3 linked regions of the Lytechinus pictus genome follow. Each later gene encodes a partner of the first gene's protein in a complex. Links are inferred from orthologs where the notes say so. Each region holds a gene or a part of one and is shown in the gene's direction. Other genes may lie near its edges.

Evidence for each region. Proteins that work in one complex are often made in the same cells at the same time.
Region 2: WASH complex subunit 1-like (region 1) and WASH complex subunit 3-like share a complex: the UniProt entries of both Drosophila melanogaster proteins name them as parts of the WASH complex. The link is inferred for Lytechinus pictus from reciprocal best matches to the Drosophila melanogaster genes wash and CCDC53.
Region 3: WASH complex subunit 1-like (region 1) and WASH complex subunit 5-like share a complex: the UniProt entries of both Drosophila melanogaster proteins name them as parts of the WASH complex. The link is inferred for Lytechinus pictus from reciprocal best matches to the Drosophila melanogaster genes wash and Strump.

The regions. Positions count from the first base shown.
Region 1 is NC_087247.1:74,319,502-74,327,352, reverse strand, and holds the start of WASH complex subunit 1-like, read left to right. Parts: upstream 1-4,254; 5' UTR 4,255-4,408; intron 4,409-7,851. UniProt on the Drosophila melanogaster protein: Acts as a nucleation-promoting factor by activating the Arp2/3 complex to induce actin polymerization. Participates in both linear- and branched-actin networks.
Region 2 is NC_087263.1:2,397,573-2,406,217, forward strand, and holds the start of WASH complex subunit 3-like, read left to right. Parts: upstream 1-5,543; 5' UTR 5,544-5,661; coding exon 5,662-5,712; intron 5,713-8,213; coding exon 8,214-8,312; intron 8,313-8,645. UniProt on the Drosophila melanogaster protein: Acts at least in part as component of the WASH complex which may regulate wash nucleation-promoting factor (NPF) activity and is required for its membrane targeting during endosomal sorting.
Region 3 is NC_087261.1:28,106,175-28,114,855, reverse strand, and holds the start of WASH complex subunit 5-like, read left to right. Parts: upstream 1-5,579; 5' UTR 5,580-5,721; exon of another isoform or gene 5,722-6,159; intron 6,160-8,681. UniProt on the Drosophila melanogaster protein: Acts at least in part as component of the WASH complex which may regulate wash nucleation-promoting factor (NPF) activity and is required for its membrane targeting during endosomal sorting.

The DNA.
Region 1 (7,851 bases):
ATGAGCCTACAGATACTCATCCTTATAGGGCACATTGATCAAAAGGGAAATTGTTATTTCAATCATTATTTTATTTGTCATATTATCTTATAGGCCTAAACCACTTCAGTCATATAATTATGGTGTCACCTCTAATAACCTAGATCGTCTGTAGAAATTACAGAATAAAGCAACAAGGGTCATTTACTGTCAATCATCATAATACACCCCCCCCCGATTACACTAGCTGAAAGTAAAAAATCGAATTCAGCACAAGTCTCTGACATGATTGAGGAAACTCCTGCACCATACCTGTCACACCTCCTAAGAGTTCGCCAATTAATGTACAACACTCGATAATCATCACATATATCTCTCTTCACATCTCACGGACATTCAAATCAATCAGTCAATAGGCATGGGTGGAAATCTCAGGGGGGACAGGGGAACGCGTCCCCCTAACCAAAATGGTAGGGGGACACGATTTCAAATCGAATACATTCGTAATTCCGAAGCTTCGTTATTCCGAAGGTTCGGATATTCCGAAGGTTCGTTATTCCGAAGGTTCGTATTTCTGAAGGTTCGTAATTCCGAAGGTTCATTAGTCCGAAAACGAAATGAGGTTCGTAATTCCGAAGGTTTGTTAGTCCGAAAACGAAGTGAGGTTCGTAATTCCGAAGGTTCGTTAATCCGAAAAAGAATGATGAGGTTCGTAATTCCTTATTTCGTTTTCGGACTAACGAACCTTCGGAACAACGAACTTTATTTCGTTTGCGGATGAACGAACCTTCGGAACAACGAACCTTATTTCGTTTTCGGATTAACGAACCTTCGAAACATCGAACCTTATTTCGTTTTCGGATTATCGAACCTTCGGAATAACGAACCTTCGGAATAACGCCACAAATGTTCGGATTAACGAACCCTTTTACGTTTTCGGATTAACGAACATCGAGGTATAGCCAATTTACGTGTTTCGGAATTACGAACCTTCGGAATAAAGAACCTTCGGAATTACGAAGTGTAACCATTTTACATGTCCCCCTTCTATTTTTGGTGGAAAGAAATACATCATTAAAAATCGAAATAAAACATGTATTTTGGATGAGATGACGTTGCTTTTTGGGTGATTACCTTTTCTTTTTTTTTCTTTTTTTGCTTGTCAAATTGTCCAGCCCCTGGTCCCCCTACTTTTATGGAGAGATAGGTCAAAAGGTGATATGTAATTTTCTGTGTTTGCCCCCAAAATATTGGAATGCAGACATTACCTCATAAACTTAAACAACGTCCTTATATTGATGTGTTTCAGAAGATGCTCAGATCTTATTTGTTTTGATATATTGCAAGTAGTATTTCATTTTGTGTTGTTATATTTTAAGTTTTTGTATAGCGCTTTGTAACTTTTTGAAAGAGCGCTTGATGAGAAGTTATTATTAATAAAATTGTGCCCCCAAAATTTACGCTATTGAGACGAAATTGGGTGATTAAAAGTTGTGTATGTGTGTGTGGGTAGGGGCTGTGCCCCTGGCATATAAATCCAGTGGCCTAAGTGGCCACGCCCTATATTGGAGGCACAAAAAAGAACGAAGGGGAAAAGAGAAAGAAAAAAGGAGGAGGAAGGAGAGGACCAAAACGAGGAAAGACAAGAGGAGGAAGAAAGATAAGTTTAACTGGTCCCATAATGTGGAATAGTCTCCCTAGCAACATCCGTTAATGTTCTACAAGTATTAAAAAACAACATATAACTTATTTTTTTCAGTATATGATCTCCTTAATAATATACGGTATATTGTAAGGACTTCGAGTTTTTGGTGAGTAGAATTTATTGTCAATTGATTTGATGTTTCAAATAAACATTGCTGCTGTTTATTTTGTTGGTTTTCATCTTTTGATTTTTTTTTACTGATTATTGTTGTACATTGTAGCAACATGATCAAACAATTACAGTATAAAACACATTACATACAAAGAAATATAGTGAGAATTAAGACAATTATCATTAAAATCATTATATATTAAAGTGGGGACCATTTCTTATAATGAACTTGTTGAGATTTAATACTATACTTTTCGTTGCAATGGTATCATCAATAAAATCGTATAAGAGACAGGGGGGGGGCACAGTGCCCCCTTTTTTTGAAGCACTGAAAAGGTGTCCTTTTTACGCAAGAAAAATGCCCCCTCACGAATGTGTAAATGTTCCCCTTTCATCTGAGGAGGACCCGTTTTAGGTGTCACCAAGTGCTCTTTCTCGCATAGGTGCCATTTTGTTGTTGTTGCAAAAATGCGCCCCTTCTCGAACCTCTAATGTACCCCTTTCACCTGAGAAGAACCCGATTTATGTGTTAGAAAGTGCCCTTTCTCGAATCAGTGCCCCTTTTTACCCAACTTCAAAGTGCCCCTCACGAACGTGTTCTGTGCCCCTTCATCTGAGGAGGACCCGTTTTATGTGTTACCAATTGCCCTTTTAGGTGCCATTTATTTTGTTGCAAAAATGCGCCCCCTCTCGAACGTGTTCTGTGCCCCTTTCACCATAGAAGGGCCCATTTTACGTGTTAACGAGTGCCCCGAAACAAGAAAACAATAGTCTAATTTTATTCTATTCAATTCAATTTGCATTTTTTTTTCATTCTCGATTAAAAAACAAATATAAAATAAGATATGAAAAACTATTTACAAGCAAGCTAGAGTATACAATGAAATGGGGAACTGCATAAATAAAGCCAATAGGCCTTATAAGCGCAGTTCCCAGAACATTGATAACATGACATGGTATACAGAAACGATAAGATGTAGAATTAAACATGATACATAAACAATAACAACAACAACAACAAATAAACACAAAGAAACAGAAAAAAACATAGAAAGTGTCAATTTACAAGAGAAAAAATAACTAGGCCCTATACATTTTGAGATATAGAAACTGTTTAATTTTTTAAATGACTTAACAGACTTGCATTCATTTAGGGATGGAATTCCAAATCCCAGGGAAATTATGTCGTAAGAATTTCATGACATTATTAGTTTTCACTGGCCATAAGTGGAACGAATCTCTAAAACGGGTATTGGAAGAGAGTCTTTTAACCTATGTTAATACTTCATGCTTTTATTACATGTATTGGAACGAAATTTTGAAATTCAAAATTGTTTGTCTGAATGAAATATTGATTACACACATTCGATTTAGCCCTATTTGAAATCAAAACAGTAGCTATAATGAATAAATATTAATACTTCATGCATTTATTATCGGAATGAAATTTTAGATTTCTTTTTCGTACTGAGATACTGATTACTAGTAATTTCTATACATTTTTTTTAAATTAATATCTCGATACTTCATGCACTTATTGTAATTTTCAATTCTTTGTAATAAAATATTTGATTACACACACGAACTTTAAACCTCTTTTGAGGCAGTACAGTATTTTAGAATCAATATGTTAGGACTTCACGCATTTTTTCATTAGAATGAAATTCTAAACTTTCGGTACTGAAATACTAGTTAATTCTATACAGTAGCTCTTTCAAATAAGGTGTTAAAGTAATACTACATCGGGACTACATCATTGTCCATTGGAATGAAATTCTAAATACTGGTTATTTGTATACTAGTAGTAGTATACCCTTTTTTAAGTATTGTTGTCTTTTGTCAAATGGAGGCTTGATTTATGTAAACGAGTAGCTTATATAAATGTAATATATGTATAATATTGACTTGAAGTTGTGAACAAAATGGATAAATAGAGACGAACTTGAAATTGAACTATAGGCATACAGAATACCAATATATTTAAATATTTTTGGGTCAATTTTTAAACACGAGTCCCATTGCATATGCACCATAAAATTAACACATTTATCAGTTAAAACTTTGTCTATTTCAAGCAATGAATTATTGAGTTCCTCGTTACAGGCATGTTTCCACATATTTTTTTCGCAGATGGGGTACAGAACATACATTTATGAAAGTTAAGTGTGGAAACATGACATCATACCCCCCCCCCCCCCCCCGGCCGCTGCGCTGCATGACGGTACGGTGTGCATATATCAGGGCCCAACTGAGTTCATTTTTGTTATTTGTTATCAGATTTGGATGATTTTTTCGATGTTTAACATTTTCTCGGTGAATTTTACTTTATTTTTATTAGATATAATAATTTTCAGCCAAGAGTGTGGGGCCTAGCGCCCCCCCCCCCCCCCCCTACACGGCTAGCTCAGACCCAGAGCTCAGTCAACTTTGGCAGTGCAGTGCATGCCATATGCAGTAGTACATATACCCCGGAAGTGATGGTGAGTCAACATGCTAGACTTGTACCGGTACGTAGCTAGTTGTAGCCTGTGCATGTGACCAACATAAGTTACCGTACCCGACATCGTTTGCGCAGGATCCAAATAATAATATATTTCATCGATTCTGTGAATTGTAAGTAGTAATTTTTATAACGAAAAGTGCTAACAGTCATTGCTCATTTCAGATGGATTTATTAGCTGTGAAACGTAGTATGAAAGTTAAATGCTCTACACTTACTAGTATCGGCAATGTAACGTAACTAAGCCAGCCACACGGGTTGGACTCCCTTGGCTTGGGATCGGGGCAAAGTTCGTACACTGTACCGCCCAATCTACGCCCCCTTGGCCTTGAAAGAGTTTACAAAGACAAGGCCAGGGACTTGCACATTTATTGTTTAGACAGTAAGGTTATGCCTAAACAAACTAGATACATGTACAGATTTGGACTGGGGGAAAGCTGATGCAGCTATAGACAGCTGGCAGCCGTCTGTTTCGAGGAGATTTTTAACATTTTTTTATTTTTTAAATTTTCCCTCGTACACAGACGGCTCGCTATCGTGTAGACCAAAAGCTTCGGTCTCTGTTATGTTGGTTGTTCAGCTGAACTCTGTTGGCTTCACTCACCAAATACAGAGACCGAATTTCTAGCGCGATCTGTACAGGGGACTCAATGGCCATATGTTTATGTGTATTAAGTTCGGATAAAACAGCTACAGGGCAGTGAAGTTGCGCGACAGCCGAGGTAAGTCACTGTTTTTGTTCCTTTTAACTTGATTTTCCCCGTTTTTTGGCAATTAATGCCGAGAGGGAATATTAATTTGCATTTCAGTTGCGTTAATTTTCAAAAGTTTGATTCATTACAGACAAAAATTGAAGAGCCCCAACGGGGGGATTTTGCATTGTAAGTCCCCTAAAGGAGAAATTAAAAAAAAAAAAAAATGTTTAAAAACTCCTCGAAACAGACGGCTGCCAGCTGTCTAGCTATCGTGCTGACACCATTAGGGGACTTACAATGCAAAATCCCCCCGTCGGAGTTCAGCTGAACAACCAACATAACAGAGACCGAAGCTTTTGGTCTACTGCAGCTATAGACCAAAATCTTCGGTCTACGTCTCTGATTATTGCATGTTCCGCTGATTGGCTTTGGCTCCATTCACCAATTTTAGGCTACGTATTAAAGTTAGACCAAATTTCTTACTCGATCTGTACAGGGACTCAATGGCCATATGTTTATGTAATTAAGTTTGGGTAAACCAGGAAAGTAAGACTGTAAGTCAATGTTTTTTCCTTTTATAGTTTATTTTTTCCCGTTTCGGTGCATTTCAGGCCAAAACTGAATAGATCTAATATTATTTTAGTTCTTGTTACATATTTTTATGAAATAAAGACAAAATCGATGAGCCCCGTCGTGGGGATTTTGCATTGTTAACCCCTAATGGCGGTTGCACGATCGCGAGCTGCCTTTGTACGAGGAGAAATTAAAAAAAATAAAAAATGTAAAAAAACTCCCCGAAACAGACAGCTGCCACAGTACCAGCTGTCTACCGCAACTATTGTTTCTGTCAGTTATGTGTGGATTTTACTGTAGAATGAAAACTTATTGACAACATATATTGCCAGAGCTCCACTTGCTCACTGCGCAGTGCAACTAGCTAGGAGGCTCCTAGAGAGTAAAAATCTTTCACTAACGTGTGCTTACTCTCCAAGGAGCCAGGGATTGTGTCTTGTTCATGTGCATGTACCGCGAAAAACTGAAACTTTCGCCCCTGAGATTTCTACTTCCTTCTAAAAGATCTTGCCCTAGATCATGTAAATGGGATACAGTTTCATTTCCGACATTTCTATGATATTGATTCAATTTTAAAACAGAATGCAAAAAAAAAAATCTTGAAAAGACAGGAAGACTTGCCGCGATGTTTGCATCGCCATCCTGTTCTTTTTTGTCTTTCGCCAAGCTACGTAACGCACATTGAGGATGTTTTCTTGAAAATAACTGTCTATGATACATGATTTGTAATGAAAAGCTGCCTGTGGGATGAATTACTCTGACTTGTGACAATCTGCTCTATATCCTACACTGTATGTCCATTTCTTTAAAGACCCTGACCGGTGTAAAAACAATCATATATCAAAATAAAGGTAATGATTCATACAATACGAATATACCAAAAATATTACATATATCTCCTTCCAATAGTTAAAAATATTAAATAAAAATCAAAGAAACTGCTCCTCCAAAGTACGCTTCGATTGAGCACCCCCACGTCGCCTGGAAATGATGACGTCACGTTGTGTCAGGAGGGTTGTGATTCCATAGGTTTGTGTACAAAAGCATTGGGTATTTTCTTCCATTTCCATGTTATGAATCCATTTTTTTTTTTGTTTTCAGATGAAAATGGCACTCAAAATTATTCACTGTTCAAATTGTTGTAAACCTACAACTATTCACTACCTTTTTTGTGATTTCTTTGTTTGGCTCTTATTGGGCCTAAATTGCTATGTCAGGAAAAGTTGTTATACATAATCTAAATGCAGATAGAATTGAAATCTGCGCCAAATAAGCAGGAAATAAAATATGGCAAAAACTAGTTCTAAACTGCAGATTTCATAAATTCAAGCTTGTGGGTAAAAATATATGTGATATCCCTCTGTGATAGAAGTGAAGAGAATGAAATGCGTTATCTGGAAAGCAAAAAAATCATCCAGTTTTTCTGTGTACAAACCTATGGAATCACGACGCTTACAACGTGACGTCACGGTCTCGAGGCAGGTGAAAAGCACAATAAAGCCTATTTTCTAAGCGGGGTTCGGGGTTCGAAACCCGATAATTGGAATATTCTTAAGCAAAATACTCAGCTGGGAAGCGGTGAAAATGCATAAAGCATACCTTGGTGTATTTAGTAGCTTATAAGCTTTCGATTGGTATATAATTTATCAATTTCATTTTCGGGTCCGGTCTGGATCTTTAAACAAAATGATTGTGAAATTCTGCAGATAAAACAGTATGTCTTCAGGAACAGTGAGGAAAAGTTTGCACCATTTTGCAATAGACCTTTACACATGTGTGCATTGACGTCATCGGGCCGTTGCATGGCATATGTTGATGATCTTCAGCTGAGATTTCTTACATTGCAACTTTGTTTACTTGTATTCTGATATCCTCTGAGGGAGGGCGCTATGAGATTATGACGTCGTATTTATTTATTTATGTATTTATTTGAACAGACTCCTTTTAAATCATACAGATATAAAGAAAACAAAATATGTACAATCAATAAAAACAAGCAAAACAACATACAAAAGCAAATTATATCAATCCCTTAACCCCAAATGTAACACTATTCAGACAAGGCTGGAACAGAGAAGGGGGCAGCATCTGTCACCCCGCAAATCAGCAATGGAGGACCCCCCCCACCTCTATTCGACCGTGGGGAGCTGTAGCAAAAAAAAAAAAAAAAAAAAAAAATCATTAGTCCCTTTACATGACATGTATAAAATCTATTATCATTTTAAGTAGTTGCTCAATGGATGGGCCTGTTGCTCTGCATGACAATTGAAAACACTGTATGGTTTAAA
Region 2 (8,645 bases), on another chromosome or scaffold:
AGTTAGAAATCATTTCCAGTTAGAAGTCATTTCCAGTTACCCAACTGGTTCCAATTAGGATTTCCAGTTACCCAACTGGTTCCAGTTAGGATTTCCAGTTACCCAACTGGTTCCAGTTAGAAATCATTTCCAGTTGGAAGTCATTTCCAGCTACCCAACTGGTTCCAGTTAGGATTTCCAGTTACCCAATTGGTTCCAGTTAGAAATCATTTCCATTTGGAAGTCATTTCCAGTTACCCAACTGGTTCCAGTTAGGATTTCCAGTTGCCCAACTGGTTTCAATTGGTTTCAACTGGAAATTGTTATATTCCAGTTAAAACCAATTGAAACCAGTTGAAACCAATTGAAACCAATTGGAAATCCAACTGGTTTCAATTGGATTTTGGTCCTGGGTTTGTAGTACAGTTTATTCTTTTTTAAAAACCTCCATTGAAACTTGCCTCACCTCCTTTTAAATTGGCTTCACCATAATTTGTAGTACAGTTTATTCTTTTTAAAAACCTCTATTGAAACTTGCGTCGCCTCCTTTTAAATTTGTAGTACAGTTTATTCTTTTTTAAAAACCTCCATTGAAACTTGCCTCACCTCCTTTTAAATTGGCTTCACCATAATACAGTTTATTCTTTTTAAAAACCTCCATTAAAACTTGCATCACCTCCTTTTAAATTGGCTTCACCATAATACAGTTTATTCTTTTTAAAAACCTCCATTGAAACTTGCCTCACCTCCTTTTAAACTGGCTTCACCATAATACGTACAGTTTATTCTTTTTAAAAACCTCCATTGAAACTTGCCTCACCTCCTTTTAAATTGGCTTCACCATATACAGTTTATTCTTTTTAAAATCCTCCATTGAAACTTGCCTCACATCCTTTTAAATTGGCTTCACCATAATTTGTAGTACAGTTTATTCTTTTTAAAAACCTCCATTAAAACTTGCCTCACCTCCTTTTAAATTGGCTTCACCATAATATTCAGGTAAGGTATATTCATTCTTAAAAAAAAAAAACATATTGTTCACTTCCCTCACCTAGATCATTTGGCTATATATAATACCTTTTATTCTACACTATTCTTCCCTTTAAAAAAACCTGATTGTACTCCTGCCTCCCCTGATCTGACATTTGCCTCTCAACGTACTGGAAATAGATACCCTTTTTTCAATATTTTTGTGTTTTTGACACCCTTATCACGTTACGTACGTAACCTGCCCTCTCTTGAAAAAGACATCCCTTTTACGTGTTTTTTTGGTCGCGCATATGGTATCCACTCGTCAATGTAAGTGGCCCCCCGGGCGTACTGTACATAGTGTTATTTTATTATCTCTTTATATCGGAAACTTCGTTTTACCGAATTGCCATGCACTCTCTCCGACGCGTTTGAAGTCTTAGACAGCATGGCATACTACCAGCCGATGGTACACACACGCACACACACACACGTTATTTGACAACTTGTCCCTGGAGCCAAAGTTCCTCGCATATAACTATCTGCATGCCTGCACGCAGTGTGTATTGAACACGCACGACCACGATCTAATGAATATTCATCGGCGAGACTGACGTAATTTTACGAGTCTCCTTTCAAACTTGGATCATAAGTGCCTACCGTATGAATGTCAATCCCAAGGAACAAAGCGAGTATATTAAAGGTCAAGTCGAACCCCAGAAAAATGTTGCATTGAATAAATAGAGAAAAATCAAATTAGCATTACGCTGAAAATTTCATCCAAATCTGATGTAAAATAAAAAAAAAGTTATGACACTTAAACGTTTCGCTTACTTTCACAAAACAGTGATAAGCACAGTGACACGCATATAAGACAATCGATGATGTCCTTCACTCACTATTTCTTCATTTTTTTTATTATACGATATTTCATTTTTACAGATATGACGATAAGGAACAACTTGACTGAATCATGTAGTATTAAACAATGCTAATTCCACATGTTCAGGGAGGAATTATTCGTTTTTTCACTTGAAAATGATGAGAAAATTGCAATATTTCATGAAGCACAAAAGAAATAGTGAGTGGATGACGTCATCAGTCCCCTCATTTGCAAACCGATTAGGATGTACATATAACTGTTGTGTGAAATTAAGCGAGACTTAAAAATATCATAACTTTATTATTGTACGTCGGATTTTGATAAAGTTTTCACTGTTTTACTTGTTGGATTTTTCTCTTTCTATTCAAATAAACTTTTTGTTGGGATGGACTTGTCCTTTAACGAATGCTATTAGTCATGTTAGTAATGAAGAATCGCTGACGTTGGAGTGAAAATATACAAGTTTAAAATTGTTCAGTTCAGTTCATTTATTCATTAATGAGTACAGAATTATATAAACATAAAAGATACACTTCAAATATATACATCAATAATTTGAAATGTAAACATGCAAAAAAAAAACAAATTAAAATAAATACAATAATATTATTAGGCCTGTGTGCAGTAATGAAAAGGGTGATTAAATAAAGCCAATATATATAGTGGCCTTGTGCATGAGGTAAAGTCTCCTAAAATAATAAATGATAATATGGAGGCTACTCAGTATCAACATGATCAAAGTAAATATGAGAACTTCGGTTACAAAGGTAAATGGATTAAAGGGATGGTCCAGGCTGAAAATATTTATATCTCAATAAATAGAGGAAAATTCACAAAGCAAAATGCTGAAAATTTCATTTAATTTCGTTTCATTTCGTTCAATTTGATCAAGATCGGATAACAAATAACAAAGTTATTGAATTTTAAAGATTGCATTATTCCAGTGAAACAGTTCTAGGCATGTCTTTATAAATATTTTATTAGGTGGGCTGATGATGTCATATCCCCACTTGTTCTTTTGTATCTTATTATATGAAATTATGTTTATTCAAAATTTTTCTACCAAGAACTAAAACAATTGGATTGACAACTGATTAAGTGCATTAATTATTTATTGCCGCAACTTATTTCATCATAATGGAGACACATCATTTACACAATGTATGAAAAAATGAAAAATTTATGATTTCATATAATAACATAAGAAAAAGGAAAGTGAGGATGTGACTTCATCAGCCCACCTAATGAATATTCATGATGATGTGCATATAACTATTTTCACAAAATATTGACAAATTTTAACATTCAATAACTTTGTTATTTGTTATCCGATTTTGATGAAATTTTCAGCATTTTGCTCTGTGAATTTCACTCTATTTTTTTAGATATAAAAATTTTCAGCCCGGATCATCCCTTTAAGAAAACGGACGTACAGGATAAGCACAAATGTTTTACAAATCGTGTATAGAATTGTAACATAGCTGCAAAATTAGGAATATTTTGAATAAAAGTATTGTTTCAATTTTCATTTAAAGAGGGAAAGAGACTTGCCTGTGCCCTGTGGGAACAAATTTCGGTATAGAAATTCCAGATTATTGGGGAGTTAAAGCATAAACCTTTTTGTACATAGGACATGTAGGACTTTCCTACTTTCCAAAAATAAAACAAATTACGTATAATTACATATAATTCTGTGTCAATGTACAGCATTATTGATACAAAATTTTTTACTAATCTTATTTGTCAGTATTTTTTAAAGTAGAAAACCCTAATATTGCAACTTGATATTGATAAAGATGGACAATATTCAAAGTATTAAGTTTACGAAATAAATGAGATGAAGCTGAAAGATAATGTCTGTTGGTGCATATATAAATTGTTTTTTTTTGTAATTTAAAAAGTTTATCTAATTTGGATTTACTGCAATTACCCCAGACATCAATACAGTAAAGAATGTGTGATAATGTTAACGAATTATTGTAAATAGAGAGTACCAGATTTAGGAAGGCAACTTCTTAACTTATACATAATTCCAATACATTTCAATTTTGGTGAACTTTGTGAGAATTTACAGTATAAATGTAATTTTTTTAAATTTTTTTCAACTTTCTTATTATTTCATATAACAACATATTTGCAATTGTTCATCCGGTCCGAATCTTAACCCAGAAAGGCCCGGGGGCGGATTCCGCCGCCCCATCATTTTTCACGATAAATCCGCCGAGCTCGCTGACTCTTTACTTTCAAATCTCGCACAACTTTTGAGACCAAATTTGCGATGCCCAGGTACGCGGTTACGAAATACTACGCAACATTATGTAAGTGCATGTCAGACCCAAAACTGCTCAAAAACGTGAATTCATGTACAAATCCAATGCAAATTGTGTATTTAGCCAAAATTCATAAATGTATCATCATTTCTACTCTTACTGATTAAACTTAATTAATTTTGTCTTGTTTATGATCAGAATTATGTCTGCATCAATTTCCATCGGAAAAAACAATAAAAAAAATAGAATACATTAGAAAAAAATGCGATACCATTTTTTTTTAAATACATTTTATTTTGATCGGGAACCTACAAAGAGTCTGTGAATAAAAAAAATCGGAGTTTTGAGGCCGTATGATAGTCGATTAGAGCAAATGATTTATTTCATGCAAAAATTAATTCAATAAATGAAATATATTATTATTTGAAAAAAAATCATACAGCCTTGTAGATCTTATCGCACACTACCACTGTTTAAACTTAATTAATTTTGTCTTGTTAATGATCAGAATTAAGTCTGCATCAATTTCCCTAGAAAAAACATCGAAAAACAAGGAAATACATAAGAAATTAAAAAAATAAAATACATGAGAAAAAATTGGGATACCATTTTTTTTAAACTGATTAAACTTAATGAATTTTGTCTTGTTTATGATTAGAATTAAGTCTGCATCAATTTCCATCGAAAAAAACAAGGAAATACATAAGGAAAAAAAATACATAAGAAAAGAAATGCGGTACCATTTTTTTAAAGTACATAATTTTGATTGGGATCCTACAAAGAGTCTGTGAATAAAACTATGAACGCACTGTATTAGCAGTTTTGGCGCCGTACATAGTTGATTAGAGCAAATCGTTTGTTTCATGCATAAAATAGCATAATTAATTCAATCTGTGTTAAATAGCTGCAGGATTCAATAAATGGAAAATATTATTATTTCAAAAAATTAACCATACAGCCTGTAGATCTTATCGCACAGTACTACTGTGCACCCCCTCCCCCCGGCTGTGAGATGGGTCCAAATAACCCGGCTCTTTTAGGTTTAAGACGATGCTCTTAACTTTAGAAAGTCTACGAAGTGGATGCTATACTGGGCGTTGTGGCGTGCGCCTGTAATCCAAGCTGTGGGGAAGTTACAAATTGATGCAGAGGTTCGAGCCCTGGTCACGTCTTTCGGATGGTGACGTTAAAGGTCGGTCCCAGACGTAAATAATCATATCTGATTGATACACGTCTGACAAAACTCAAATACACACACACACACACTATATTCCTGTTGATACGAACAAAACAAGGATTAGATAACATGGGATCAATTCCCTCAATTCAACCATGGACCCCCATGGACCTACTTTGCTTGTAGGTCCATGATTCAACCCTCAGAAAAAAAAACAATTTGCTCGCTCGCGCTCGGCAAGTATTGCAGCCCTCTCGCGTCCACTTCTCGCCAACTAGCTGTAATAATAAACCGGAAAGTGAAAAACTAAGGCTGAGTAAAAAATAGACTTTCTATCAATACTCGCCATTAATGGTTAACAAATAATCTATTTTCGAACCAGGATGGACGCTGACGGATTACCCCTTGTAGGACCAGGAGTAGATTTGACGAAGGTAAGAGGATTTTATTGTGAAAACGATTTTTATCAGCAGAAAGTTAGGGGCGTCACTAATTAATTTTCTTCGGTCCCACATGCCTATTAACATGTGTGCATGTCAGTGTCATTTTGTACAATCGTCGCGTCGCTAGCTAGCTAGTCACCCAGTGCAGTTTGTTTTGGCGCTTTGTTACAAATAGCTAGTCTTGAATGTACCTTTTTTTTTGCATCGATTAACCTTTTGGATAAGAGAGCAAATAATGAGCAAAGTGTGTGTGAGACAATTTTCAACATGTTCAAATGAACTGCTAGTCAGCTGATGAAAAAGTCTGACTAGTCTCTGTCTGTCTGACTGTGTTTTGTTTTGTTGCAATGATGTAAGTGAAAGAAGAGTGTAGGCCTACATGCTGCAGCTGTGCTTGCCATACATTGCCATTGGTTCTCAGGCTTTAGTTTCTTTGACTTTGGGATGTAATTCCATTCTGTTCATGACATGTCACTTAGTGCTTTAGTGACTTAGTCTTAGACAGCTGGCAGCCGTCTGTTTCGAGGAGTTTTTCAACATCTTTTTATTTTTTAAACTTCTCCTCGTACACAGACGGCTCGCTATCGTGCAGCCACCATTAGGGGGTGAACAATGCAAAATCCCCCCGACGGGGCACATCGATTTTTGTCTTTATTTCATAAAAGGGTCATTCTTCAATAAGTGTATATTTTCGACCATTGTGGGATGATGAAATTCAAAACTATTTCTAAACTTTCTTTTTGTCTGTTTAATATATTTGTACATCTGTAGATTATGGAAATACTGTTTGGCGCGATCTTTATGGGGACTAAGTTATAATTTTGGGGTCTTTTTAAACATGTACACTGTTAATGCGTCATCTCCGTCACAATAGACATCACCAGCACTTACACAGATATGGGTATGTGGGACAAGGTAAAGTTAATGATATCTGTAGTACTGTACGGTGTACCAATTTAGATCTGAAGTCCTCCAGACCAAGGCCAAGGGTCACTTTTCATGTTGTAAATATAGCCGTAAGTTTATCATGAGCCCATGCAATGTGTCAATTAACTAAGTTCATAATTCAAATCAAACTCATCATCTCCGTCACGAAAGAGCCGTGACGGAGATGATGCGTGACGGAGATGACTATCAGACACATATGCACCGATAATCAATGTCTGCAATACCAACTAACGCGAGTGCGGCATTGGCTGTTCTGTGGGCACGTTAATCTTTCATAGAAACGATTAGAAAATAAATGTAACACCTTTATCTAGCTAATACCAAGCGTTCGGAGATGACGCTGAATAAAGGTACGCACCTGGTTTTTGACGAAGATGCCGCCCGAACAATGTCAAAACCCCGGAGATCAGGGAAAAAACGTGTCGATTCTTTCTCCGTACTATCCACCGGCCATTTTGCAACCACAATCTTGAAAACCGTGCACTTTGTTGTACTGTAGATGGCGCACTGAAAATGCGTGACGGAGATGACGCAAAATCGTGTGACACAAAATAATAGGCCTTAAAAACAAAAAAATCTTAAAATCGTTGCTTGCGCGTGTATATTTGAGTGGTATTCGTTGTCAACTCATAAAAATTAATTTATCAAGGCATATTATTACAAAAAGATGCATAATTTTAAAAATGCAACACATGTTTATGTTTACATTATGTTATTGTGACATGCAATTTTGAGGGGGGTGGCCATAAAAAAAATTAAAAATAAATTATATATGATATTTCTTTTTGACCTGTTTTAATTTTTCATTATTTTTTACATACGTGTTAGTCAACACAAAGCGGTAAAAAATAAGAAAACTTTTTTATATTTTTTCATGGGACTCCAAAGCCATGTGACACAAAAATATACACTTATTGAAGAATGACCCAAAAATATTGAAAAAGAATTGAACCAAAATAGAGATTATTATTCCGTTTTGGCCTGAAATGCACCAAAACGGGGAAAAATAAACTTAAAAGGGGAAAAACAGTGACTTACTTCAGCTGTCGCGCAACTTCACTTCCCCGTTTTATCCGAGCTTAAGTACATAAACATATGGCCATTGAGTCCCCTACTCCCCTGTACAGATCGCTCTAGAACTTCGGTCTCTGTATTTGGTGAGTGGAGCCAACGTAGTTCAGCGGAACAACCAACATAATTAACATAGACTGAAGCTTTTGGTCTATTAGTGACTTAGTCTTACCTAGGCATACCTTACCGCAAATACTGGCTGGAAGAATGCTGAATCAGCAGTCGAGCTTCCAGGTCTATGTTCTTGTCAGCTACAGGTCTTCATGTCAGCTTCCTTCAATCTTCATGCTTCAGTAAGTTCAAGGAGGCAGGGGGGCAAGTTGGTGAAAATTGCTAATTTTTTCCTGGAATCACAAACACCCCTTCATCCTCTTAGTTGATTGTATTGTCTAGATCTACATTTTTGTAATTCAAAACTAAAAGCACAAAGTTGTTATTCTTGAAATTTTCTTCTGTTTTTTTTTTAATTTCAGGTTGGTGCTATACACTCCAAGCGAATGCTCGCCTTTTTAAACCACTTCATCATACACACAACCAGGTTTCTCAACAAGTTCTCCTGTGTTTGTGAAACGGTAAGGAGTAAATTGGCTAGTCACCAAGATTTAGTTACATTAAATTTACCTTCATCATGGACTCCTATGTTGATGTTTGTACTTATCAATATCATGTAAAACTATCGCTGGCCTGGAAAGTTGGAAAGTGCTCTTCAAAAGTGCCATTTTATGGTCAAAAGAAGTTATGTATTTACTAGCGACAGGAAATTGCAAATTTTTGTACCCAATGGTCATGATGGTACATGTAGATTATATTCAAACTTTACTTTTACCTTCAAAGTCGTTCAAAAGTTTGTAACATACATTTCGAAATTGATTAATGTAGCAACCTTCCTTTTTTTTATTGCATGA
Region 3 (8,681 bases), on another chromosome or scaffold:
ATTTGGGGATAATTAGATAGCTTAGATGTAGGTACATGCATACAAACCGTTTGATTTCAGATTGGCAGTGTACTCGAGGGGGGCGGGTTTGATAAAGGTATATTGATTGTGCGATGTCGCTCTTAAGATTTCGGCCAATAACCCACCGATTATTATATACCTTGTAACTACAAAAAAAAAATTAAAACCTCACAAATCCCCAATTTAAGGAAAAATATGTCATGAGCACATAATTATTATACACTGTTAGAAAAGTTATCCTTAAAATAAAAGAAGTTCCTGCAGCAGAGTCTCGAGAACACCTGTAATCTTTACCAGATTGCGTAATCTTACAGGAAATTGGTATTTGATGTATGGAACCTTACAATTTTCCTTTAATAAAACACCCTTTCCCCCTTTTTAAACAGACCTGTTCTGTTAAATTGCAGAAAAATTCCTGTTTTATGAATTTACAGAATGATTCTGTTATTGCTTTTTGCAAATTCTTCTTTCTTTTTTTTCTGTAAAATCAGGGTTTTTTAACAGTGTATATAGTTTGAAAGAGTATGTTCTCCCAAATAATTTGATACCATATTTATGTGGAATGTGTTAACGCTTCGATGATCAGCATGTGCGTATTCTGGAGGGTGCTTTTGGGGCCTGGGCCCCACGGGTAGGCGAAAAGGGGCGCGCCAAAAAGAAGAAAAAAAAGGAGAGGGAAAGAAAAGGGGAGACAAAAGGAGGGAAAAAAGAAGAGAAGTCGAAAATAAAAGGGGAAAGAAAGAGAGAAGAAACAAACGAAAAAAGAGGGAAGGAGGCGCCGGATTGATTTTCGAACTCGGCGGGGGGGGGGGGGCCAAATTGATGTTCGACATAGGGGCGTCGAATTGAAGTTTGACCTAGGGTCGCCGAATTGATGTTCTACTTAGGGGCGCCGAATTGATGTTCTACCTAGGGGCGCCGAATTATGTTTTACCAAGGGGCGACGAATTGAAGTTTGGCATAGGGGCGCCGAATTAGAGTTTGATGCACTGGCATCATTGTTAAGATATATACGTATACCCATCATCAAAGCTGGACCCGCCCCTGGTAAAGAAATGTCAGCTCACAAAATGTTTGAAGGGCCTACTCTGATGAGAAGTTGAAACCCCAAAGTGCTTAAAATTCTAAGCTATAGCGTAAGAAAGTTTCACCAGTTGTTCTTAAAGGTTCTTTTAACTTACGAACAGCTTTATGAAACACCCATCCGGGTCAAATTTATTATTTTAAAAAAGTGGTATGACAAAATATCATGAACACATAAAAAAAAGTGGTCTTCATTTGCCTTTTTTCACGTGATTATGAATTAAGATCATTCAACATGCATTTTAGGCACCTGAAACCTAGTGGGGAAAAGAAATTATTGTATATTATATTACAGTATTACAGAAATATTTTTCATAACTTTATGAAATATTATTTGCTTATAGGACATACTGTATGTGTTCATCATTCAGTGGTGCTCGATCGCATTGTCTGTTTAAAGATATATATAATCCTGCCATACTTGGTGTGTTAGTTTGTTCAGCTTTGGGGTCTGATAGGGGGGGGGGGCTCATGGGACGGGAGAATGCTCATATACATTCATTCTTTAAATTTGCGTAGTTGTTACGTCTTTGTTTTATTATTTGCTTTATAGCTGCATACATAAGTTGTTGAAATGTTATTTTTGCATGAGTTCGGATTATGTCTCTTTTCTACAATTTGCCTGCTTTGTTTATTACACTGTTATTTAATTTGTGTATTGCACTGCTGCAATTATCATTTTGTTCTATATTTTCTTGATTATGTATGTATGAAATTTATTTGAATGAATAATAAAGATCACTACAAAACAAAAAATACTAAAACATCCCGTTTTCAAGTCCATATACATCAAATCTATTTCCTCGCACTTCGAGTTATTATTGTTTTATAAAGTGACATATGCTTTTTTCATGACTATTTTATGTGATTGAATATAAATCATTTCCAGTCCGTATTTACGTTCGCATTAGTGAGATATGTCTGCTCTTCATGGATTCCTATAAACAGTCCTTGAAATGTCCCCCTTTCTGGTCTAATAATAAAATCTCTTTAGTCTCTCTCACCCATGGCTGTAGGGAGCGGAAAATTCGTTTTACCCCCCCCCCCCCCCCACGTACCACCCACCCCAGGAAAAAAATCTGCGTTCGGCTTCATGCACCCCCTCCCTCCCATAAGTTATTCTACAGAGAATATACAGTGCGTATCAAAAAAAGTTTACACTTAGAAAAAATCCTGTAAAATTATACATTTGTAATATCCTGAAGATTTTTCCACATTTTAACATTGGTACAGATCCATTTAGGCAAATGACGATATAACTGTCGAAAATATTTCCGCTTGAGTGAGCACCACTTACTTTTGAAAACTTAGTGAAAAATGTTTTGCGCAGAACTTTGAAATAGTTATGGGAATAAAAGTAGACCTTAATTATGAAGAACACATTGAATTTAGCTAGTAAAATTGGTTTGAAGATACCTTTTACCTTTTTAACTTGTTTCCTTGTCCAACACACTTCGAAGAGTGCATTGCACCCATGGGCGGAAATCCCGGGGGGGACAGGGGGGACGTGTCCCCCCTACTCAAAATAGTAGGGGGGACACAATATCAAATGTCCCCCCTACTTTTTTTGGTCTTTTATGATGGTAAGAAATACATCATTCTAAATCGAAATAAAACATGTATTTTTTGGGACGAGTTGGGACGAGATGACCTTACTTTTGGGATGATAACCTTTTTTTTTGCTTGTCAAATTTCCCGCCTCTTGTCCCCGTAGGCGGACCAGGGGGCCGAGGGGCCCGCCCCCCCCCCCCCCCCCCCCCCCCCCTCTTGGCGGAGCAAAAAAAGAAAAAAGGGAAAGAAAGAAGGAATAAAGGAGGGAAAAGAGAGGAGAAAAGAAGAGAAGGACGACGAGTGCATAAAATAAGATGAGGGGAAGACTTGAAAAATAAAAATAATCTTTCGTGCCACTATAGAAAATTTTTCGCTCGCGCTTCGCGCTCGCATTACCTGTTAGGTGATTTAATATCTTGTTCAATATGGAGCTCGAATGTCAAGTTTGGAAGTCAATATACAAAACATATTTCACCTCGGAAATCGAACTTTCATTATTTTGTGTGATTTACAAATTGATTTTTAAAAAGTGCTCTGTAAAAATGTCAGTTTTATGGTCTGAATATTAACATTTGCTGCTTGCGCTGCGCGCTCGCAAATTTTGATTTATCAGGTACCTATTATTTTCGTGTATTTCATAAAGTTTTCAAAATATCCCTTTTCAGGTCTGATTGTTAAGACGTATCAGCTAGCGTGCTGCACGCTCGCATTTTGATTGGCGAGTTATATATGTTTCAATATTGATTATACAACAAACTACTTATAATCCCCTATTCATGACACAGTTTATCAAAAAATTTACCTCGCAATTTGCGCTCGCATTAATGGTTAAAAATACATTAACTGATGCATCCTATTCATAATTACAGAAGTGAAATGTCCACTTTCTATGCCATAATATCATCAGATTTCGCGCCCTCATATAACGGGCATTAATAAATATGATATTAATTTAATAATCAAATTGTCCCTTTTGTTTCATCTCGCTTAGCAAGAGGAATAGGAAGATAGTCATCATTTTCATATGATGACATGTTGTAAGGATGTCCCGGTCCTATGTCAAAACTCAGAGTAATAATAATGAAAATATCAGCTCCGGTTTTTAAGTGCGATCCATATCCACCTTACAATTTTTCTACAAAGTGCTTGAAATATAAAGCTGAACTTGACTCTTTTTTTCAGATCGGAATATCAAAGTTTCATGATTTTCATGATTGAAGATGTATTTAGAATGCCTAGATTCTAGGTCTAAATATGAAACACGCGCGCGCATGTTTATTCAGATACTCAACTTGTTCTCTATTTAAATCATTATCCAGTTTCAGATCACAATATCACTATTTTTCTGCTCGCGCTTTGTGCTCACATTATTAATGTAGGAAGACCCCATATTACTCATCCTTTTCATGATTTACAAAACATGAACAGAGTGGCCCATTTTTAGGTCTAAATCTTGATTTTTTTTCTGCTCGCTCTTCGCGCTCGCATCAATTATTAAATTATATAGCTATCCTGTTCACGATTACAAAAACTGATTAAAAGTTTCCTTTCTTTCTTTAGAAAGTTCAAAATTTTTCAGCTCGCGCTTCGTGCTCGCATCTTTTAATTGTTGAAAATATGTAACGCCTTCATGGCTAAGTGCAAGCAGTCCTTAACAGCTACCTTTTCAACAGGTACCAGTTCAAAACGTATATAAAAATTTTCTGCTCGCGCTTTGCGCTCGCATTATTAATACTCATCCTTTTCATGATTTACAAAACGTGAATAGAGTGTCTCGTTCAGTAAATATTATAGGACTAAATCTCGAAATTTTCCGTTCGCGCTTCGCGCTCGCATCAATTGTTTACTTATATACCTATTCTGCTTGAGTTACAAAAAGCGCTTAGAATTTCCATTCTTTGGGTGAAAATGTCCCAAAAAAATTAGCTCGCGCTTCGCGCTCGCATCATATAAATAAGGATTATGATATTATATATTAATTAATAAGAATAAAGCTAAGAAGTGACTAATGAGGACTATCCCTTCAAAGAAACAAACAAAAATCATCTTCGAGCTGCCGATCGGGGAAAATATGGCTGAAACAAATTTCCGCCCCCCCCCCCCCCCTATTGGCGAAGGCTGGATCCGCCCCTGTGTCCCCCCTACCTTTTGGGAGAGATTTCCGCCCCTGATTGCACCCCACCCTACTCCCCCACACACTGAGGCCATCGTGGCGATATTTGCTCTACACTGAGCTGTGATTTACATGAAATGGCTTAATTTTTAGGCTTGATTTTCATTTTGTTAATCATTGTCAAGCTTCGAAAGGGTGTGGAAAAACAAGTATTAAATGAAATTTGAAATGTAAACCCACTTTAAATGATAAAAACTTAGTGAAAAAATGCTGGAGATGTCTGATATAAACTTTTGTTCAGATTTAGTTATGTCCTAGCTCAGATCCAGCTGGCACAAAAAGGGTAAAAGTTGTGCTTACTAAGTGTTGAAATTTCAATTTGGGTGGCAAAATTGTTACAAAATGCTTGAATGTATCTGTTGTATTTCAATTGACTAAAAGTGCAAGGGAAATGTATGAGAAATGTTTCGCAGGGTAAATTTGATTTCGCCCTTTCCCCTTGACACAGCGTGAAACTGACGGGCATTTCTGTGCAAACAGCTAGATCTCTGCGAGCTTTACAAAAATGGACAGTGCTCACTCAAGTGCAACATTCTGTCAAACTTTTACTTTCATTGGATAGAAGAGACCCAAAGGTTATATGTGAAAAATTACCCACGTGTTGTATATTTTTTTAATTCCCAGGGCTTTTTCAGAGTGTTAATTTTTTTTTGATACGCACTGTAGAATCGCTTTCGTAATGCCCGTGATTCCTTTCTTCCTACAGTTGTGAATCCCACGGTCAAAACATATCTCCTTCCCGGATCTCCTTTCACTCTTATGATTCGGAAAGAGGGGTTTATATATTCATGAGCCGATTGTCGGTCAGGGTTGCCTTTTTCTTTCATTTGAAACATACAACCAGTTGGTGCCCCTGATGAAAACTGAGTGAAAATTAGTTCCTTCCGGCCTGAGTGAGTCCTATCTTTTGAAGTGCCTACTCGGCCTATTCTAATCTATGAAGGGATCACAGGAAATCACTTTTAAAAACTGCTAGTTTCTGTTCTCTTTTGTCTTTGCAATGCAAGTTGAATTCTGATTTTTTTAATTGTAGAGTAACACTCTCTGTGAATAATTTATGAAAACTTTGTGGAACTTTTAGAGAATCTAGAAAGGTAAAAGTAGAGCATTTTGGATCAACGACGCTAGCGCTCGGTATATATAGCCGTGCGCCGCGACCGCGAAGAGGTCGTGAATTCGGATCTTTTCGTTTCGGAATTTTGTTCGATAATTTACATTCACATGATTCAATATGGCCGCTCCCTGGAGGGTCTGAGATAGTTTCTTGCTAATTACTAGATCTTCCCATTTCCAGTTCTATTTTTGATACAGTGAGCTCATTTATTGAATGTGTGAGTATGCATTTTTGCTTTTCATACAATCATTTATTTTTCATCCTGTCTCATTAAAGATATTTTTATGAAGTTGTGTGGGGGCGGAACCTGGAAGTCGTTAAGCTCGGTCCCATACGTCGACTCTCATGTTATGTTTGGTTAGCTTTTAAAGAGGCTGTTCTTACTACGTTCCTAAAACTAGTTTACTATGGCTCACAGCTCCTGTGTCTCACTCAATCCTCACTCAACAAACTTGACTCTGCCCAACACTCCCTTTTCAAGAAACTCTTGGGTCTACCTAACCCAGAGAGCTCCGGCCCGCGTAGCGGGCCGGAGCCCAGACGCTCAGTGTGCAAACGGGCATTCAGGTGAGAGTACCGTGAAGTTTGGTCAAAATAATTTTGATAATACATAATTAAAACAGAAATTAAGCACTTACCACGATTGTATGGATGATAGTCTAACGAGTGGCAGTTTCCTGACATCGAGGCACAGACTGGAACCTCAAAAAACGATCAGTTCTGTCGCGGTAGCTCTCCTCTTTCAGAATTCAACACAAAATGGCCGATCGAGACCGAGGCTAGTATAGCACTAGCGCATATAGACTTTGTCAAATTCGCGCATGCGCCCTACACCCTCTCGAACGGCCATTTTGCTATGAATTTTGAAAGAAGGAGAGCCACCGCGACAGAACTGATCGTTTTTTGAGGTTCCAGTCTGTGCCTCGATGTCAGGAAACTGCCACTCGTTAGACTATCATCCATACAATCGTGGTAAGTGCTTAATTTCTGTTTTAATTATTTATTATCAAAATTATTTTGACCAAACTTCACGGTACTCTCACCTGAATGCCCGTTTGCACACTGAGCGTCTGGGCTCCGGCCCGCTACGCGGGCCGGAGCTCTCTGGGTTAGGGTCTACCGAGATCCACTCACACGTATTGCGAGGTTAGTATTAGTATACTAACCTCGCACCACGAACCGCGTTTGGCAGTGGATTTCTAACTAGTGGGTCGCGCGTGCTGGGATCTCACTTCTTGGGTCCACAACACACGACTTCTATGGCTTGAATTTTCTGTGCGCGGCGGCATGTAATGAACCCTTGGGTGACCGAGATCTGCCCCCAATATCTCTATCTTCCTGTTAACTGACCTACTTCACCTCTCCCGCGAGATTTGAACTGAACACTTTCCTTCTGATAGGACAGCTCTTCAACATCGACCATAGTAGATTTGAATTTCGCTCATTCCTCCATGCCCTCTCCATCAAGACTCCTACTATCATCTACTGGAATAAACTGCTCTCTAAGTACAACCTTCCCTCACTCACCTCTCTCCTATCTGAAGATTTCTCATACAACCGCTGGAAAACTCTGTGCAGGAGTAAAGTGTATGATGCCCAAATGGAAGAAGCCAGAGTGTGCATTGAGAAATTCTCATCCCTCAGCCTATGGAGTAACCTCTCAATGCTCCCCAAGATATCGTCACTTTACCCCTCTTCACTACCGACCCATCTTCGATCAGCTGTGATCTTACGCGCTCAGCTACTTACGTCCACCTATCCCACACAACGACGCCTAGTTACCATCAGGAAGAGCACAGACCCAACCTGCAATCTCTGCTCTCTAGAGGAAGAAACCACTACCCACTTTCTTGCCTCATGTCCAGTCCTTTTGACGCAGCGTCTGGACCTACTACAGCATGTTGAGAACCTTGAATTGCCTGCACACATCCTAAATGATTTCACTGGAAATGACCCCCTCATCCTTGCATCCTCCATCCTTTTTCCCTCACACTCTCTGCCCTCCTCTTCTGCTTCCTCTCTGACATGTCACTGCCTAAGATACATCTTAAAAATCCACCTATGTCGACAGCACCAACAAGAAAGGACCTGAACTTTGCGGCTTGCCGCCGATCTCCGAAGACCGGAGGAAGGAAATATACAAGAACAAGAACTGGAAACTAGTTTAGTGGAAACTAGTTTAACGCGTAGTGAGAACGGTCGAAGCGATCTTGCAAACCAGTTTGGAAAACCACCTCGCGATGTAGTTTTCAAGATCGCTTTGCCTCGTTAAACTGGTTTTACTTTTAGCGTAAGTGTAGCCAGGCGGCTTCTAGAGAGTAAAAATCATTTACTAACGTAAGGTCACTCTCATGAAGCCAGGCCTTCTATCCCATAGACCCACACAATGGAAGCCAAAACCTGAAACTTTCACCCCCGAGATTTCTACTTTCCTTCTAAAAGATCTAGCTCTAAATCACTCTAAGCACCAAGGCTATTAATTCCTGTGTTAAAAAAGTGAGTGCACGCGAATTAAATGTTGGACTTAAATTACTAGATCTTACCATGGAGCTCCATGACGAAATCTGTTCTTAAATTAGACTCTAGATATTACTAAATTGAAAAAATGTATAAATAGTACTCGCCTGGTCTTTTCTTGGGGTATTGAAGCCTTTTTGTCCAGAACTTGCTCAACTTTTGCGGCAAATTTTGTCGCCATAGGGTTGTGCACATTCTCGTTTAATACTGGTTGTCACGTGA